Linked DNA regions of Canis lupus familiaris. The protein of the gene in region 3 interacts with the protein of the main gene of each other region in a pairwise test. Links are inferred from orthologs where the notes say so. Each region holds a gene or a part of one and is shown on either strand. Other genes may lie near its edges.

Region 1 (4,157 bases), about 4.7 Mb from region 3:
CACAGAACACCTAGCAAGGACCCCAGCATGAGCTTCTGAAGAGCTGTGTGCCCTTCAGCTGTCATTTCACTACTTTGTTTTCCCATTCGTGAAATGAGGAACTGCACCATACATCTTTGTAATGTGAAGACTATGTCATAGTCTATGTGAAGTTACAGACACAAGTGGAGGTAGGGTAGAGGAAACAGGAATGAGGAAACTAACCAGGGTTTTTCCCACTTTCAGTCCCTGAAAGGACAACCACTGACACTGATTCAAACTTTGAATGACTTTCCTCATCTAACACACTTGAGAGCAGCAAACTTCCAGTTATTCAAGATCCAATAAAAAGAAAAGCTAAGCTAACTCAGTTTTCTTCTCATATAGCACTTTACTTAAAAAAGGAAATGACAAGCAACAAGCCCAAATCTGCTATTTATTCCAAAACTAAATTTCTAAAGGGTGATAGGATCAGTTGTTTTCCAGGATAACATACATTTGGCCTGACTCTCACATCATCCATAGCCCTGTTCGACAAAATAAAAATTGTGTTTCTCATGATTCTAAGACCTTGGGGGGGGGGGGCAGGTAGATAAAGCCTAAATTATAGCAGTAATGTAATATGGACAGTAAAACTTTAATGGTAAGAATATAATTTAGAGCACCTGTGTGGTTCAGTCAGTTAAACATCCCATTCTTGGTTTGGCTCAAGTCAGGATCTCAGGGTAGTGGGATTGAGTCCTGCCTTTGGCTTGGCACTGACCATGGAGTCTGTCCCTGTCCCCCCTTTCCTCCCCCTACTGCCTCTCTCGCTCTCAAATAAATAAATAAATAATAAATAAATACAATCTTTTAAGAAAATGAATATAGTTTGAATATAGTTTGAATTGTACTTCTTTTAAAATGGCTGGCTATTTTCAGATTTTCATTTATCTTATTCAACTTCACTTAATAGAGTTTATCTGCAAAAGGGCTATTTTTTTTCTAAAGATTTTATTTGTTTATTCATGAGAGACAGAGACAGAGAGAGAGACACGTAGGCAGAGGGAGAAGCAGGCTTCCTGTGGGGAGCCGGATGAGGGACTCATTGGGGATCAGGACCTAAGTCCAAGGCCGACTCAACCACTGAGCCACCCAGGTGCCCCAAAAGGGCTATTTTTGAGGATAAAATGATTTACCAGAGGTGATAGCAATTTGGTAAGTTTTGTACATATGTGCCATTCTTCAGAAATGTGAAACGACTGTACAGATTTATCTAGGAAATTGCACTCATGGGCCAAATCTACGCCTGCATAGGACTTCCACGTGTTTATTCACTTTCTAAAGCTCCAAGTCGTTAGTATTCCGTCCGCAATCCGAAGCCTCTCAGGCGGGGGCCTGGCTGGCTCTGCGGGTAGGGCATGCGCAATCTTGATTTCCCTGTTCTGAGTTCAGGCGGGTGCTCGTGTTTACTTAAACAAACAAACAAAAAACCCTTTTAGGAGGTGAGGAGACTAAGATTAGAGAGAGGTGCCCTTGCTCCTGCGCCCTGCGCCCTGGGAAGGGAACGATACCGTTAAGGAAGCCTATAAACTGGCACCTGCGCGCGCGGCTCTCGGTGCCCCCGCGAACCCGAGGGCCAGAGCGGGCAGGGGCGGGCAGGGCGCCCACCCGACTGGGAGGACCGAGGCTGGGCTGCCGTCCTGCGGGCGGGCCCCGGGGAGCCGGCTGCCCCGCGGTCCCGGAAGGTCTGGGCGGCGGAGTTCCGCGCGGGCGCGGGCGCGGGCGCTCGTCGGCGGGGGCGGGAGCGCGGTGCCGGGCCGCGGAGGAGGCCCGGACCCACGGCAGGCACAGGCCCCGCGGGTGCTCCGGCGCTCCCGGCTCGCCCACCCCCGCCGGCCGCCTGGGCTTGGTGACGCGCCCGCGCCCCTCCCGGTGCCCCAGAAGTGCTCGCCTTCCCCCTGGGGCCGGCGCCTCCCGCGCCCCCACCCGCACGGTCCCGCGTTCTGCCCCCTGGCCCCGCCGCCCCCCGCACCTACCGGGCGGGGCCCGCGCTCCCCAGCAGGTGGCCCCGGGCCACGCGGCGTCCAGCGGGGCCGAGACGGAGGGAAGGCGGCTCAAACCCTCGGCCTCGCTTGTGCAAACAGTGTCCCTGCGCGCCCGCCCGCCCGCGCTGCCCCACCCGCGGCCCGCGTGCCCCAGCGGCTGACTGGGTGCTCGCGGCCCCACCCGGGCCCCTGGACGCGCTCCAGGCCCAGGCGTCGGCGCGGCCTGCTGCCCCAGGGGACCCCCCAGCCCGGGCACCCGGCCCCGAGCTGCCGCGTGTGGGGGCCAGGCCGCCGCCCCCCACCTGCAGCCCGCCGAGGCCGCCGCGCCCTCTCGGCCGCGGGACGCAGTGGTGTCAGCGGCCCGGGCCTGCTCCGCCGCGGGGCTCAAGGGCTCCTGCAAGCCCGGGCCTGCGGAGGCGGGAGGCCTCGGTCACACGGACAGCCCCAGCAGGCCGAGTCAGCTCACCTCCCGGGTCGCCTCCCGACTCCCGGAGCTTACTCTACCCGCCCCGCCCCCGTTTGTTGACATTAAAGTCATTTATCAGACACTCGGGCACTTGTCAGCACAGGCCACAAAGCTTTGTAGGGCAGAATCAAGGAGGCGAAAGGCTGGAAAGATGCAGGCTGCAAACAACAGACACGGAGGGAAAAATGAAAGAACTCTGGAGAAAGGAAAGAAGGTAAAGGAATCTTGTGAATAGCAGCAAGAACAGGTTGGGGTGGTGCCGGAAGGGAGGAGCTGACGGAGTACAGGAAAGTTGGGCAGAAGCGAGTAGAAACGTTGCAGGGCGTTTTCCATTGTGCAGGAGCGTTGGGAATGTGCGCGGAGAAATAGCCTGCTCTGGGGAACCCCACCCTGCGCATGGTGGGGAGGAGTCAAGAACACTGAGCCTTCTCTAGTCCTCTCCACAGCCCACCTGATACATTCAGGGGTCTGATTGGCTTCCTTCAAAAGTGAAACTTTCTTCTTCCTAACTTCTCTAGACCTCAGAAGTTACTCAAAGTTAGAAAGAGCCTTGGGGGCAGAGAGAAGTCCTTGAGAACCTATTTAGGAACCATTCTAGGGATCGCATCAGGGGAGAATTTCTGGTTTACTTTTGGTTCCCACTGCTTATTAAATGAATGGCCTGTGACTGCATTTGGCTGGATTGTCTCTTGCCCCTGGGTAGCGGCTGTGGCCAGCTGAAAATGAATCCTCCCATTTCATGGATCCAGCAGTTGAAGAACTAACAGGTGGTTCATCAGTCAGTAAAATTTTCCTACAACGGACACTGGTTGCAGCGGATGACCTTCCCCGACGCTCAAGTTCATGTGCTGATAAGTCTTTCTTTATAAGAGTACTCCCACTTGGCCACTAACCTGTCTGTACTTCGGTTTTCCCTTCTGGATAATAACAACGCCTACCTCATGAAGTTGTTGTGAAGGTTAAATGAGATGATATATGTAATGTGCTTAGAATAGTTCGTGGACTGGTGAATGTACAAATACATTAGCTTATACTATTTCACATCACATACTGCAGTTTCAAGTTATAACTTCATACTCAGACCTTGGATTTTGCCTTGTGTGGTACCTAGACTCCATGTTAACCTCAGTGATCCATCCCCACCTCCTCAGTATGTCACTTCTGAGATTAGGTTGTAAAAGACGTGAGCACATGCCTGGCTGGGCATCCAGCACTGGTCTTTGAGGCACGACTGTGAGAACACCAGCCTCAAATTTGTAGTGCACTTTCTGGCCCACCAGCAGCCTGGGTGACTGCTAAGTGTTCTCCATGCAAGCAGTGGGCAGAGCCGCTAACCCTGTGAACAAGATGGGAGATGCTGAAGCAGGCAAGAAGATCTTTATTTAAAAATGTGGGGGCACCTGGGTGGCTCAGTCGGTTAAATGTGCGCCTTCCACTCAGTGGTGATCAGGGTTCTGGGATCCAGCCACACATGGAGCTCCCTGCTCAGTGAGGAGTCTGCTTCTCTCTCTCTCTCTGCCTGCCGCTCCCTCTGCTTGTGCTCTCTCTCTCAAATAAATAAATAAAATCTTCTTTTTTTTTTTTTTTTTTAAATGTACTCAGTGCCACACAGTGGAAAAAAGTGGAAAACACAAGACTGGTCCAAATCCCTGGGCCTTTTGAGATGAAAAACAGGACAAGCACTA
Region 2 (3,955 bases), on a different chromosome or scaffold from region 3:
AGGAAGGTCAAAGGAGAAAAAGTAGGCAACTCAAGGGTGGGCTGTGATCCCTTTAAAGCAGAAGAGGGGCAACCCCCCACCCCATTACCAAATGCCACCCTTGCCCCAGGACCTTTGCAGCAAGCCGTGTTCCTGCCCCAGCTCTAGCACCTTTTCATTTTGATAAAGACCTTACTGTCTTTTTACCAACTTAGTACTTGAAATGATGATATAGCCTGCGTTGGGTGTCTCAAGTCTGTGATCTATTTTCCTAGTGGTTCAGTTTTAAAAAATAAATAAGGTTTAGTTTTTTCCTCCACTACGGCGTCTCTCGTATGCGAGCAGTGAATCTACAACTTTCTTAGGATGCTTCTCTTTGTAATGTGTAAAATAAGTGTCTGAAGACGTCGTGAAGAGTAAAAACTCGCTGTGATTCAGACGCGGGACTGGTTCATTGTAAATGGGGGAAAACAGGACAAGCTAAGGCCCTGGGACTCGGAGTCCATTAATGTAAAAATAACCGTGGGAAGGCTAAACCATCCATTTCGGGACCGTAGCTGCTTGTAAGCAGCGAGAGGTGGGAAGTTGGGCAAATGCCACCTGTAGGATTTTGAGTGCTAGAATGAGGCTCAGTCTTTTATTCGTATTTAAATAGAGCCATTCCTGGACATTAGGGAGGAACTGAATTTTGGAGAATCATCCTCTACTCAGAATCACCGAGGCCTAAGTCTTTTTTTTTTTTTTTTTTTTTTTTAAGATTTTATTTATTAACGAGAGACACAGGCAGAAGGGAGGAGCAGAGCGCCCGATGCGGGGGCACCGCAGGCTGATCGACCTTGGCAGGACCAGAGCCCAGCCCTCCCGAGCGCGTGCGCACTGGGCACGTGCGAGGACGCTAACCCGCGCAGGTCGCAAAGCGAGGGATCCGCCAGCTGCGCCGACGACTTAGAGACCCAGCCCTTACGTCAGTTTCACCAATCAGGAAACGGAATTGAGGAGGCGACCGGAAGTCCCACCCCATGTAGCCCCATGCAGGCCAATCGCTGGCAACGCAACCGGAAACTCGCGGGCGTTCGGCAAGTCCGGGGGCGCCCTCAAAGTATCGCGGGAGGGAATGTGACCTCTGCCGGCGTTTGATTGGCGGCGGGGGCCGGTGACGTCAGGCGCCAAGCGGCGGGAGCGTGAGGGAGCCGTGTGGAGGCCTCTGCGAGCTCGCCGAGTCGGCGCCATGAGCAAGGCTCACCCTCCCGAGCTGAAAAAGTGAGTACGCGGGAGGGCCGCGTGCGGGTGGCGGCGTCCGTGCGCCGGGGCCCCGCTCGGGGGGCGGCAGAGCGGCTCCGCGGGGCGCGAGGACGGGGCGGGGCGGCGGTTTCCTTGAGCTCTGTTCTCGGAATCTCCCTCCGGGGCGCCCGGGGGCCCAGCGGGGTTAGCGCCGCCCGCGGCCCAGGGCGTGACCCGGGGTCACGGGTTCGAGGCCCGCGTCGGGCTCCCTGCGTGGAGCCTGCTCCTCCCTCCGCCCGGGTCTCTGCGCCTCTCTCTCTCTCTCTGTGTCTCTCTGTCTCTCTCTCTCTCTCTGGGTCTCTCATGAATAGATGAAAATTTAAAAAAAATAAATTTTTTTTTGATCTTGTGCAGAAGTTAAGACTTGGATGTCACGTGATCTGTTAACAGCGCTGTGGGGGAACGTTCATTTTTTTCTTTTTTTTTAATCCAAGAAAAGTAAGTTTTTTTCTTTTTTCCTGCATCCAGTAAAAATCCCCTCAAAACCGGATGTTCCTACTTGCGTGGGCCCGGGCTCGGGGACGCTGGGCCGAGCGTGTGCAGGGCCTCCCGAGTGCCTCCGTCTCGTGTCCGCCGCGCAGTCCCAGGATTTCTGCACGTGGTAGCGCAGAACAGGAGAACGGGACCCGGGGGTCGCTTTGTGAAACAGCCGTCCGCCCTGTGCGTGGGTCACGTCCTGCCAGCCTCGTGGAGGAGTCAGACTGCAAGAAAAAGCCGTATTTAGTAATTGTGCTTTTTTTTTTTTTTTTTAAGATTTTTTTTATTATTTATTTGAGACACAGGCAGAGGGAGAAGCGGGCTCCATGCAGGGAGCCCGACGCAGGACTCGATCCCAGAACCTTGGGGTCACGACCTGAGCCAAAGGCAGCCGCACAACCGCTGAGCCCCACCCCCCCCCACCCCCGGGCTGCCCAGGAAATTGTGCATTTAGGGGCGCCTTGGTGGTCAGTCGGTTAAGGGTCCCACTCTTGGTTTCAGCCCAGATCCTGATCTGCTGGTGAGATCAGCCCCGGTGGGCTCTGGGCTCAGCGTGGAGTCGGCTTGGTGTGTCTCCTCCTTCTCTGCCCCCTCCCCACTGCTCGCCTGCTCGCTCGCACGCGCACTCTCTCTCTCTCTCTGGTTCTCGCTCTCAAGTAAATCTTTTAAAGAAAAAAAATAGTTTTACATTGAAATGCATATTTGTATCAAAGCCATTTTTTGTGCAAGAACTCCGTGTATTTTAGCTGGGTCTGTTGAAGTGTTCATCGTGAGCCCGACGTTAAGAAAAATACAACTTATTTTGGAGTTCTGTCTAAAACTCTCTTTCCTTGACGACTTGGCAAAACCTTAGAAGTATTCTCTGGGTTCTTCACGAACTGGTGAGATGCTAATTATTTTTAGCAAAAGAACCATCCTCTACTTGTAATCTTAGATTACCTTTTTCATTTCTTAACAGGTGCTTTTGTTTCTTAACAGATATTTGAGAATTTCACAGGATGAAACTGGTTTTAATAATTTCTCTCATCTCTCGATCTCATGTACTTTGAGACCATCCTCCAAAATGACCTTCAATTTTTTTTCTCTTTTATTTCTTCACAGATATTTTCTACTCTTTTATGCCCTCCTCCTGGTTTAGCTTAATTCAGTGGTTCTTAACTGTGGGGTAGGGAGCCTGTTTCTACTGGCAGGCCGCTAGTGAGTAGAAGCTAGAGATGCTGCTGAACATTGTACAACGCGCTGGACATCACTCAACAGAGTTACCTGGCCCCAGATGTTACTAGGCCGGGGTGGAGATACTGAGACCTAACCAAATTCTCCATCCCACTTCCTAAAAATCACTGCCATGGTGGTATTGCCAATGACTGGACTCTGCTTTAATAATTTATGACTATCTGAACAGTAAAGTGTAGACTTGTTGGCACGGCGTTCAGGCTCTTCCATCTGAAATGCAAGGTGCCAAATATGACACACACTAGTGTGGAGTATCCCATTCTACAGCCAAAATGAACCATTTGCATTTGCTCAAACTTTCTTACTATGTGACTTTAGAAAATCTTTCTGACCCTTGGTTCCTCATCTGTAAAATAGTGATAATAACAAGATCTCACTTAGGGCTAAATAAGTTCATATGTGTTCTATTTGCTGTCTTTTATATATATCCTATTAAATTATTTTATATATACTACAACGTATTTTGGGGTGTTTTTTTTTTAAGGTTTCATTTATTAGAGAGCATGTGAGGGGAGGAACAGAGGGAGAGGGACAAGCAGACTCTGCACTGAGCATGGAGCCCTACTTGAGGCTCCATCTCACAACCCAAGATCATGACCTAAGCCAAAACTCAGGTGCTCAAAGGAGGCGCCACCCAGGTGCCCCAGGCCTGTGTCTTAACTTACCTTTGAATTCTCTCATACATTAAAATTGCATGAAATTTCAGGGGTGCTTGAATGGCTCGGTTGGTTAGGTGTCCAACTCTTGGTGTCAGCTCAGATCATGATCTCATGGGTGGTGAGATGGAGCCCCCTGTGGGTCTCCACGCTCATCAAGGAGTCTGCTTGATAGTCTCTCTCTTTGCCCCTACCCCACTTTTGCAAGTGCTCTCTCAAATTTTTTTTAAAGATTTTTGTTTATTTATTTGAGAGAACATGAGCAGGGAGAGGGGTAGAGGGAGAAGCAGACTCCCTACTGAGCAGGGAGCCCTTTGTGAGACTCAATC
Region 3 (4,031 bases):
ATAACAATATGTGATTAATACATCAACTCAAAAATCTAAAAATTGCTACCCTCAGCCTATGTATTATTTTTATAAATGAAGGAGAGTTCTAGAACATTTGAAATTTTCTAACCTCATGAACTGGCTCCCCCCAAATTATTCTTATCTTGCTTACACTATTAATTTGTTTATTACTCCCCTTCTTTTAATAAACAGAGCAGAGGGGATGTCCTCATTTCCTGTTTGTGAGCAAATCCCCAATTAGCACTGTGAGAACTACTGAGTTTTATTGCAAGAGTCAACAAGACTCTAAAGGTTCCCAATTTGTGGTGGCATTTGACAATTCACAGATGTGCCACCCTCTGGGTGATTACCAACAGCTGAATCTTACAATGGCTTCTCACCCCAATGCACCCCCACCCACGGCCTCCAAGAATCACAACCAGCACACTTGCAGCCCCATCCCTGAGGGGCTGAGGACACGGTTTGTTATGTGCAACCAGACTCTCTTGGGAAAGGTAGCCGTGCCTGTGTCACCATCATAGAAAGACCTAGAACTAAGTGAGGGCTTTGAAGACCAGCCTTCCCGCTCTTTACCACACTCCTTGCACCCTGCACTGTGAGTGGAGATGTGAGCAGGGACAAGGCTGACCTAGACCAGAGTTTAAGGACAGTTTCACTGTAATCTTTTACCAGTTATTACTGTTGTTGTTTTTCCATTAGAAGAGAGGGGGAAAACAGTCAAGAGAAATATGGGTGTGTATAGTTCTTGAAATCCAGAGGTTCAGATGGAAAAAAAAAAAATCTATCAAAAATGTCCCTAGAACAAAGCTTGGCAAAATAAATAGCTTTTAAAAAAAAGATTTTATTAATTTATTCATGAGGGACACAGAGAGAGGTAGAGACACAGGCAGAGGGAGAAGCAGGATCCTTGCAGGGAGCCAGATGTGGGACTTGATCCCAGGACCCTGGGATCCACCCTGAGCCAAAGGCAGAGGCTCAACCACTGAGCCATCCAGGCGTCCTTTTTTCTTAAAAAAAAAAAAAAAAGAAGAAGGAAAAAAAAAGCTGAACGTTGTAACAGGAGAAATTTTCTCACAAGGAGAAGTTGTTCCTGAGCCAAGTTGAGGCAGAGGAAAAATTTTCCAGCATGTCAGGAACGAAGCTGACGTTCCATTAAGAACAAAAAAATATTTTTTTAAAAAATGTGCTAAAGGAAAGCATCAGCGGAAACCAGAGTCCAGACGGAGCTTGAAGCTGCCGACGGGGCGCGGCGGGGAGAGCCCACGGAAGGCCGGCGCTGGAGGGAGACGCGGGCCCGTCTCCCCGAGCTCCCAGCCCCCGTGGACATTTCCTGTTCTGCCTCTGGAAGTTCAAGCCAAAAATGACAAAACATCCTTTTCCCTCTGACCGAGTGCTTGGTTGGGAGACCATCCCCTTCCCAGGCCAGTGACCTCAGGGCCCGCCCTCGCCTTCCTTCCGCGGAACCCCTCCCTGAGCAGCGGCGTGGGCTCCGGGGAGCAGGGACGGAGCCGCTTCCCCGGGAGGGATGATGGAGCTGCCGTAGCAGGTGGGGCCAGAGGTGGAGAGAGACCACGGGGACCCTGGCCCCAGAGGTAGGAACCGGGCAGAGGGAGCTGGACGTTCTTGCGGTCGTTGGACAGTCACTGAGCACCAGGAGGCGCTTGCCCTTTAAGCCTTGGGCTGTGAGGGCTCTGCCCGTGGGTGCTGTGCTGGGTGCGCGCGTGTGCTGGCTGGGTGGGTGCGTGTGCTGGCTGGATGCGCGCGTGTGCTGGCTGGGTGCGTGCGTGTGCTGCCCGGTGCGTGCGTGTGCTGGCTGGGTGCGCGCGTGTGCTGCCCGGTGCGTGTGTGTGCTGCCCGGTGCGTGCGTGTGCTGGCTGGGTGGGTGCGTGTGCTGCCCGGTGCGTGTGTGTGCTGCCCGGTGCGTGCGTGTGCTGGCTGGGTGCGCGCGTGTGCTGCCCGGTGCGTGCGTGTGCTGGCTGGGTGCGCGCGTGTGCTGCCCGGTGCGTGCGTGTGCTGGCTGGGGGCGCGCATGTGCTGCCCGGTGCGTGCGTGTGCTGCTTTGTGCGTGCGTGTGCTGGCTGGGTGCGCACGTGTGCTGCCCGTTGCGTGCGTGTGCTGGCCGGGTGGGCGCGTGTGCTGGGCGGGGGGGTGGGGGGGGGCGTGTGCTGGCCGGTGGGGGGGCGCGTGTGCTGGCCGGGTGGGTGCGTGTGCTGGCCGGGTAGGCGGACTCTCAGGCAAGAAGGTCAGATGTCTTCTCTCTCCCTCTCCTTCCCAATTGAGCTTGAACTCTCCGGCTCCTGGAAGCACATGTTTTGTTTGGGTTCTGGTATGGAAAATGTCGTGGGAGGACTCTGAGAGTTCCTTGATTTCTGTTTTGTGTGTGTGTGTGTGTGTGTGTGTGTGTGTGTGTGTATTTTGTGGTGTTGTCTGAGTCCCTGGAAGTCAAGGAGCGTTCATTGTACCTTGAACTCTGGACAGATTGACAGAGAAATGAGTGAAGTGCTGCAACCAGGACCCTATGCTCTGCTGCTCCCCTTCACCCCCAAGGTGGTCACACTCTGCAGCTGTCCCTCCAGGTATGGGGATGTGGCACAGACCCCCAGGGCCCTGGAGCACCAGGGCTGTGCATTCATGGAGTTTGAGACACAGGTGACGGTGGCAGAGGTTCCCATCCACCCAGGAGGCCCTTAGCTCTGCTGGGGACGCGCTCGTCAGTCCGGGGCTGGAAGGCTAGGCTTGGTGCCATACATGCTGACATGGACGGACATCGAGAACTCCACATGGCTTCTGCACAAGGAATACTCAAAAATTTATGAAGCAGTCATAAATGAAGCACTTCTATGCCCTTCATTTGAACTCCTATGGCTTTTACATCCCTGTACCACACACAGCGCTCCTTAGCCACACACATAGTACATTGTGCTCTTCTTTAACGGGCCAGATAAATGAGAGGGTGAACTGAGCAAACTTATCAGAACCTATTAGTTGGTGATCCCAAGACAGCAGCCAACTCTTACCGAGCGCTGGCTGGGTGCCAGGCACTGTTCTAAGGGCAGTAGGTGTCATTGGCATCATCCTTATTGACAGATGAGGAAGCTGAAGCCAGAGGGACAACTAGTCCATGGCAGAAATGGGACCTGCACTGAGGTAGCCTCCGTTTTGAGTCCCAGCTGCCATGCTCTGAAACCAGGAAGAGCGGGATTTGAATCTTGGTTCCAGCATTGCCTGGCTGGGTGGCTCTAGATAAGTTATATGTCCTCATCCTCAGTTTTCTCATCTGTAAAATGGGATAGCAATAACCCCACCTCACAGAGGTATTGTGAGAGGTAAATTAGTTGTAAGAGACTATTTTATTGAAGGAAATGAACAATACAAGCAAGCTCTCCCCAGTCCCTGTAGTGTGTGGTATAAATGTAGAAGGATCTCATGCAACTGAAAGCCTCAAGGTTCTGCAGGAGCTAGCAAGAGTGCTGTACCCTCCACGAGGGACATTGGAGTTTCCTTGGCAGCCAGTGCAGGACTGCAGTTGCCAGCTCCCTGGACTCCAAACTCCCTAAGGGCAGGGCTCATGTAGTATGTATCTTTGTTTCTCTTAAAAAAAAAAAAATGGTTCTCAAACTGTGGCCTGAAGACACTGTTGCTTTTCAGAAGGGACACAGGGTCTTTTTGGGAAGGAGTTCAACCAGGAGCCTATGAGTGTTCCAGGAGCCTCCTCCTCCCACTTCCAACAAAGCAGCTCTACCTTTACTGACTCGTATGTTGGGGTGCCCAGTTGGAAGAAAGTTTTGAAAATAATTTTCAACACCTGCTAACCCGGAACAAGAAATGCATCTGGGCTGAAAGTGACCGCTTATGGAGTGGAGTTGATTCACAGAAGGATTCTTAGCTTCCCTGTCTACGCTCTCACGCGGCCCTCCCACCACCTCCTACTTAGTGATCATCTCCTGCTACGGGGTGCCCAGGGGGGCTGTGGGCCATCTCAGGCAGCCTGCCCTCCTCCCGCACAGGGACTGGCAAGGGGCAGAGCA
Region 4 (4,308 bases), on a different chromosome or scaffold from region 3:
TACCTTAGTATTCAAGACCCTCCTAGAATCTGCCTTTCTCTGTCAGTTTTGTATCCTACTACTTCCCAACATGAACCCCTTTTAAAAATCAAACTCACATGTTCAATTCCCTACATATAATTGTACTTTGTTTCTGTGCCCTTACTCTTACTTTTCCCACTGCTAGATATTCTCCCTGCTACATATATATATATATATATATATATATATATATATATATATATATTTAAATTAACATGTCAAAGGCAAAAAAATTCATTTCCCTATCTACTCTCCTTGCTAAATAATTTCTTGAAATTCCAGCAATGTTCTAACCATTTTCAGGCATGCACACAAAATACATATGCATTTATAACCATATACAATAAAATCATTCCATATATGCTTTTCTGCAACTTGCCTTTTTTCAATTAAATAAAATTTGTGCATTTTTCTACACCAGCACGTACAGAATAAACAGATTCTTTTTAACAGTTACATAGTGTTCTATTGAGTGGATATACTGTAATTTATGTAACAAGTTCTCTATGAATGGACATTGTAATTTCTAGGGTTTGGGTTTTTTTGTTTGTGGGGTGTTTTTTCTCCCATATCTTAAGAATTGCTGAGTGAATATCTTTCGACATTTTTCTTTGCATACGTGCATAGATCTGTAGGACAGGTTCTTAACAGTGGCATTATTGGGCTAGAGATTATCACATTTTACTTCTTTTTTTTTTTAAGATTTTATTTTTATGTAATCTCTACACCCAACCTGGGGCTGGAACATACAACCCTGAGATCAAGAGTTGCAAGTTCCATCTTCTGAGTCTACCAGGCGCCAGCACCACCACCCTTTCTTAAAGATTTTATTTTTAGAGCTAAACAAGACTTTCAGAAATCACATTAACCAAGCCTATCATTTCTAAGAGAAACAGGAATATTAGTTAGGCTTTTGCAGAACACTTACTGTTCAAAGGCCTTTCCTAGACAGCCAATTGGTTATATTAAATCCTCACCCTAGGCTTGTAAGAGAAACATTGTCATCCTATTTTGAGGAAACTGAGCTACAAATAATTTACTGGGAAAGTGGTCTGCTTAGAGCGGGTCCAAGACCAGAATCCAGCATCCTGGCTCCATTCACTGCTCCTTCCACGATATCCCAGCTGCCTCTCGTTCCCCTCGCGTACTTAGCTACACAATCGGTATTTGGTGAATGAAATGACTTTTTAAAAAATTGCCAGGTGTTGACAGTAGCTCGAATGGCCAAAATTTAAAAAAAGCAAGCATGCTGATGGCCGGGGATGCACAGCTCTCCACACAGCTTTCGCCCTTCTCTCGGGGAGGGGGGGGTAGGGGGGTGCAGGGTCGTCGGCAGCTTTCGCTCTAGCGACCCCACATCCCCACCCCACCAGGCAGCGCCGGTTCCGAAGGAAACACGGCTGCGCGCGGCCCCTTTAAAGCTGCGGGCGGCGCGTGCCCACAGGCCTTTCAAACGGACCAATAAGCGGGCGATGGGCGGTCCGTCGGGAACCAATAAACGACGAGGACACTGCGGGGTGTGCGGCGGCCCAAGCGGTTTCAAACGGCTTAGAGCAGGCCCCTCGGTTCTGACCCGGCGGAGGTGAGTGGCCGGTGGGCCCGACCCACCCACCCAGGCCCTCGGGTCCGGGCGTCGCGCGCGCCGAGGGGTGTTGAGCCCCGGGCGGGGGAGCCTCCGCGGACGCGCCCCTCCCTCGCCGCACGAACCCGGCGGATCTGAGGCGGCGAAGCGGGGCGGAGGCCGGCGGACCCGCGGCTGGGAGGGCGGGGGCGTGGGCGCTCGCGTGCAGCCGAGGCCGGCATCCGGGGACCCGAGCGCGCCGCGGCGGGGTGGCGGCGGCGGCGGCGGCGGCGGCGGCGGGGGAATGCGGGCGGTGCAGGGCCGCGCCTGGCGGCTGTGGGTGTTCCGGGGCTGGGGCGGGCGGGGGCCCTGCGAGCCGGCCCTGCTACGGTGCCCCTCGCGTAATTGTCAAATGAATGAATGAGTGAATAAGAACCCAGGAGGGCTGTCGCGGCGGTGAAGGGCCGGGTCGTCTCGGAGCGTGACAAGGACTGCGGTGCCGGGGCCTGCCCGCGCACCTGTGTCCCCGCCGGCCGGCTGCGGTTTTAACAATTCCGATCAGACCGCGCCGCCCTCGCGCCTGGCTTCCTCTCTCAGAAGGTGTCAGTAGTTCAGGTGTCTTTCCAGCTCTGGAGGTTTGGAGGACCTATACAATAGCCACCAGCGTAGGTTATCTTAACTAAGTAGGCCCTGCTACTTTATGATTCGGTAAACTCGGTTTTTACTTTTTCAGCCCTTACCACTATTAGGCGGTTGAGTTAGCTACCCTGCAGTCCTGGTAACTGTCGGGATTTAAACGCATCCCGTTCTGTTGCTGGGATAGAAAAATGCTGAAAGCGATGTTGCCCGAGTGGCTTACTGTGTGTTAGAAAACATATTCGTTTTGATGAATCCTAACAATGAGTGTTTCATTCAGCATCAATAGAGGGTAAAGTGGGTTGTTCTTTTTTTTTTTTTTTTTTTTGCAGAACTTGCCCCAAATTTTATGCTTGGCTCTAAATCTCACGGGGAACTAAGGCATCAGATCTTGGCCCAGAAATGCTGCCTGTCTTATTTTATGCATAATTATAGTAATTGAAAACTCATTTTTAGAGAGGTGAACTTCTGTCTCCATTTTCATCACCCTGAAAAGTCCTTCTTTGACCTAAAGAGCCGATATATTAAGCTAACAATCTTTGGAAATTTATTAAGTCTAAAAAAGATTTGGGCCTTTCATAAGTGACTGAACAGACTCTCATGTTGTTTTCATAAAATTTAATGATACAGAGGAGGTGAGATCAATTTATTTTGCCATAAATAATGGCATAAATTAAACTTAGTCAACTTGTGAGAAGAAAATTTTACACAAGTTTTCCAAGTCTGTTCACTGGAGAGCAGTCAGAGGTAAGCAGGGTATTCCATAACAATTCATATACCTTCTTTATTACTTTTAACGTTTTGATCATCAGCTTTGAATTATGAACAGTAGTGTGGCCTACAACTGACAGCTCAATTTTAGCAGCAGAGCTTTTTAATTGCAATAAATTTGAGTACCTTAATATTACGAACAGTGTTCTAGATTTCGAAGAGGCAATTAGAAATAATAAATACATCTCTAACGAGGCCTTAGGATATTGTTTAAAATCTTGATGTGGAATGAAAACTTTATTTTGAAGTAAAGCCAGGCTCTCTTATGCTCCTTTGACTTAATGGAGTCTCATTCATCTCATTCATTGATTCATTCAACACATACTGAGATTGATGCCTACTGTGTGTTAAACACTGTTCTGGATTCTGGGAATACACCAGTGAACCAGAAAAAGACAAAGCTTCTGACCTAAGGGAGTTTGACAGTTTTATCTCTCAAACAATTTGCTGTAGCAAATTGTATTTTCTATAATCCCTCTGGCCCAGCTCTGGTCCTTGAACAAAATACTCAAATACTTTTATTAGCAGTAGCTAACATTTATTGAATTGTTACTGGGTGCCACATTTTATCTCTTTTAATCCTCACAGTTTTTTATAGATGAGGAAACTCAGAAAGGTTATGCAACTTGTTCAAGATCATGCAACTGATAGAATCTGAATTTGAACCCAAGTTAGTCTTTCTCCAGGGCCTTTGCTTTTGACCTATGGTTGTACTACATGAAGTAATGAGATACATTAGGGAGAATTCAGGAGCAATTTCTGGGTAGAATACCCTCCCCTCTCCTTTTTAAAATATTTTATTTTATTTATTTATTTATTTACTTATTTATTTACTCTTTATAAAAGATTTTGTGTATTTATACACAGAGGGCACAGGTAGGCAGAATGGCAGGCAGAGGGAAAGGGAGAGGCAGGCTCCCTGCTCTCCTGATGTGGGGCTTGATCCCAGGATCATGACCTTGAGCTGAAAGCAGACTCTTAACTGACTGAGCCATGTAGGGGCCCCAAAGAATCTCAAGCAGACTCCACAATGAATGCAGAGCCTGTTGCCGGGCTTGATCTCAGAACCCGAAACCAAGAGTTGGAGACTTAACCAATTGAGCCATCCCAGGCGCCTCCCCCGCACACCAGCTTTTTTAATACTTTTAGCAGAGCCATGAAAAAATATGAATGATAGGACATGGTGGTATTTGGAAGGAAGATGGAGTGGTTCAAAATACAGTAGTTACTGGACTGCTGTGACTTTGGGGGAGACTCTGGGGGAGCCTAAAATTGAGATCTTAATCTACTTACCATTGATGGACTCCTGATGGGCAGTG

Evidence for each region.
Region 1: the proteins of TACC1 (region 3) and SH2D4A interact in binary tests that used the Homo sapiens proteins (3 or more experiments, as listed by UniProt). The two-hybrid records come from large-scale screens. The link is inferred for Canis lupus familiaris from reciprocal best matches to the Homo sapiens genes TACC1 and SH2D4A.
Region 2: the proteins of TACC1 (region 3) and SNRPG interact in binary tests that used the Homo sapiens proteins (3 or more experiments, as listed by UniProt). The link is inferred for Canis lupus familiaris from reciprocal best matches to the Homo sapiens genes TACC1 and SNRPG.
Region 4: the proteins of TACC1 (region 3) and CKAP5 interact in binary tests that used the Homo sapiens proteins (3 or more experiments, as listed by UniProt). The link is inferred for Canis lupus familiaris from reciprocal best matches to the Homo sapiens genes TACC1 and CKAP5.

What each region holds. Positions count from the first base shown.
Region 1 is NC_049237.1:22,874,068-22,878,224, reverse strand, and holds the start of SH2D4A (SH2 domain-containing protein 4A), read right to left. Parts: upstream 2,801-4,157; 5' UTR 2,473-2,800; intron 2,463-2,472; exon of another isoform or gene 2,309-2,462; intron 2,168-2,308; coding exon of another isoform or gene 1,461-2,167; intron 1-1,460. Other genes in the region: collagen alpha-2(I) chain-like, read left to right, coding at 1,461-2,167. UniProt on the Homo sapiens protein: Inhibits estrogen-induced cell proliferation by competing with PLCG for binding to ESR1, blocking the effect of estrogen on PLCG and repressing estrogen-induced proliferation. May play a role in T-cell development and function.
Region 2 is NC_049231.1:70,135,045-70,138,999, reverse strand, and holds the start of SNRPG (small nuclear ribonucleoprotein G), read left to right. Parts: upstream 1-1,155; 5' UTR 1,156-1,207; coding exon 1,208-1,239; intron 1,240-3,955. UniProt on the Homo sapiens protein: Plays a role in pre-mRNA splicing as a core component of the spliceosomal U1, U2, U4 and U5 small nuclear ribonucleoproteins (snRNPs), the building blocks of the spliceosome.
Region 3 is NC_049237.1:27,534,270-27,538,300, reverse strand, and holds the start of TACC1 (transforming acidic coiled-coil-containing protein 1), read left to right. Parts: upstream 1-1,227; 5' UTR 1,228-1,595; intron 1,596-4,031. UniProt on the Homo sapiens protein: Involved in transcription regulation induced by nuclear receptors, including in T3 thyroid hormone and all-trans retinoic acid pathways. Might promote the nuclear localization of the receptors.
Region 4 is NC_049239.1:43,098,496-43,102,803, forward strand, and holds the start of CKAP5 (cytoskeleton-associated protein 5), read left to right. Parts: upstream 1-1,508; 5' UTR 1,509-1,603; intron 1,604-4,308. UniProt on the Homo sapiens protein: Binds to the plus end of microtubules and regulates microtubule dynamics and microtubule organization. Acts as a processive microtubule polymerase. Promotes cytoplasmic microtubule nucleation and elongation. Plays a major role in organizing spindle poles.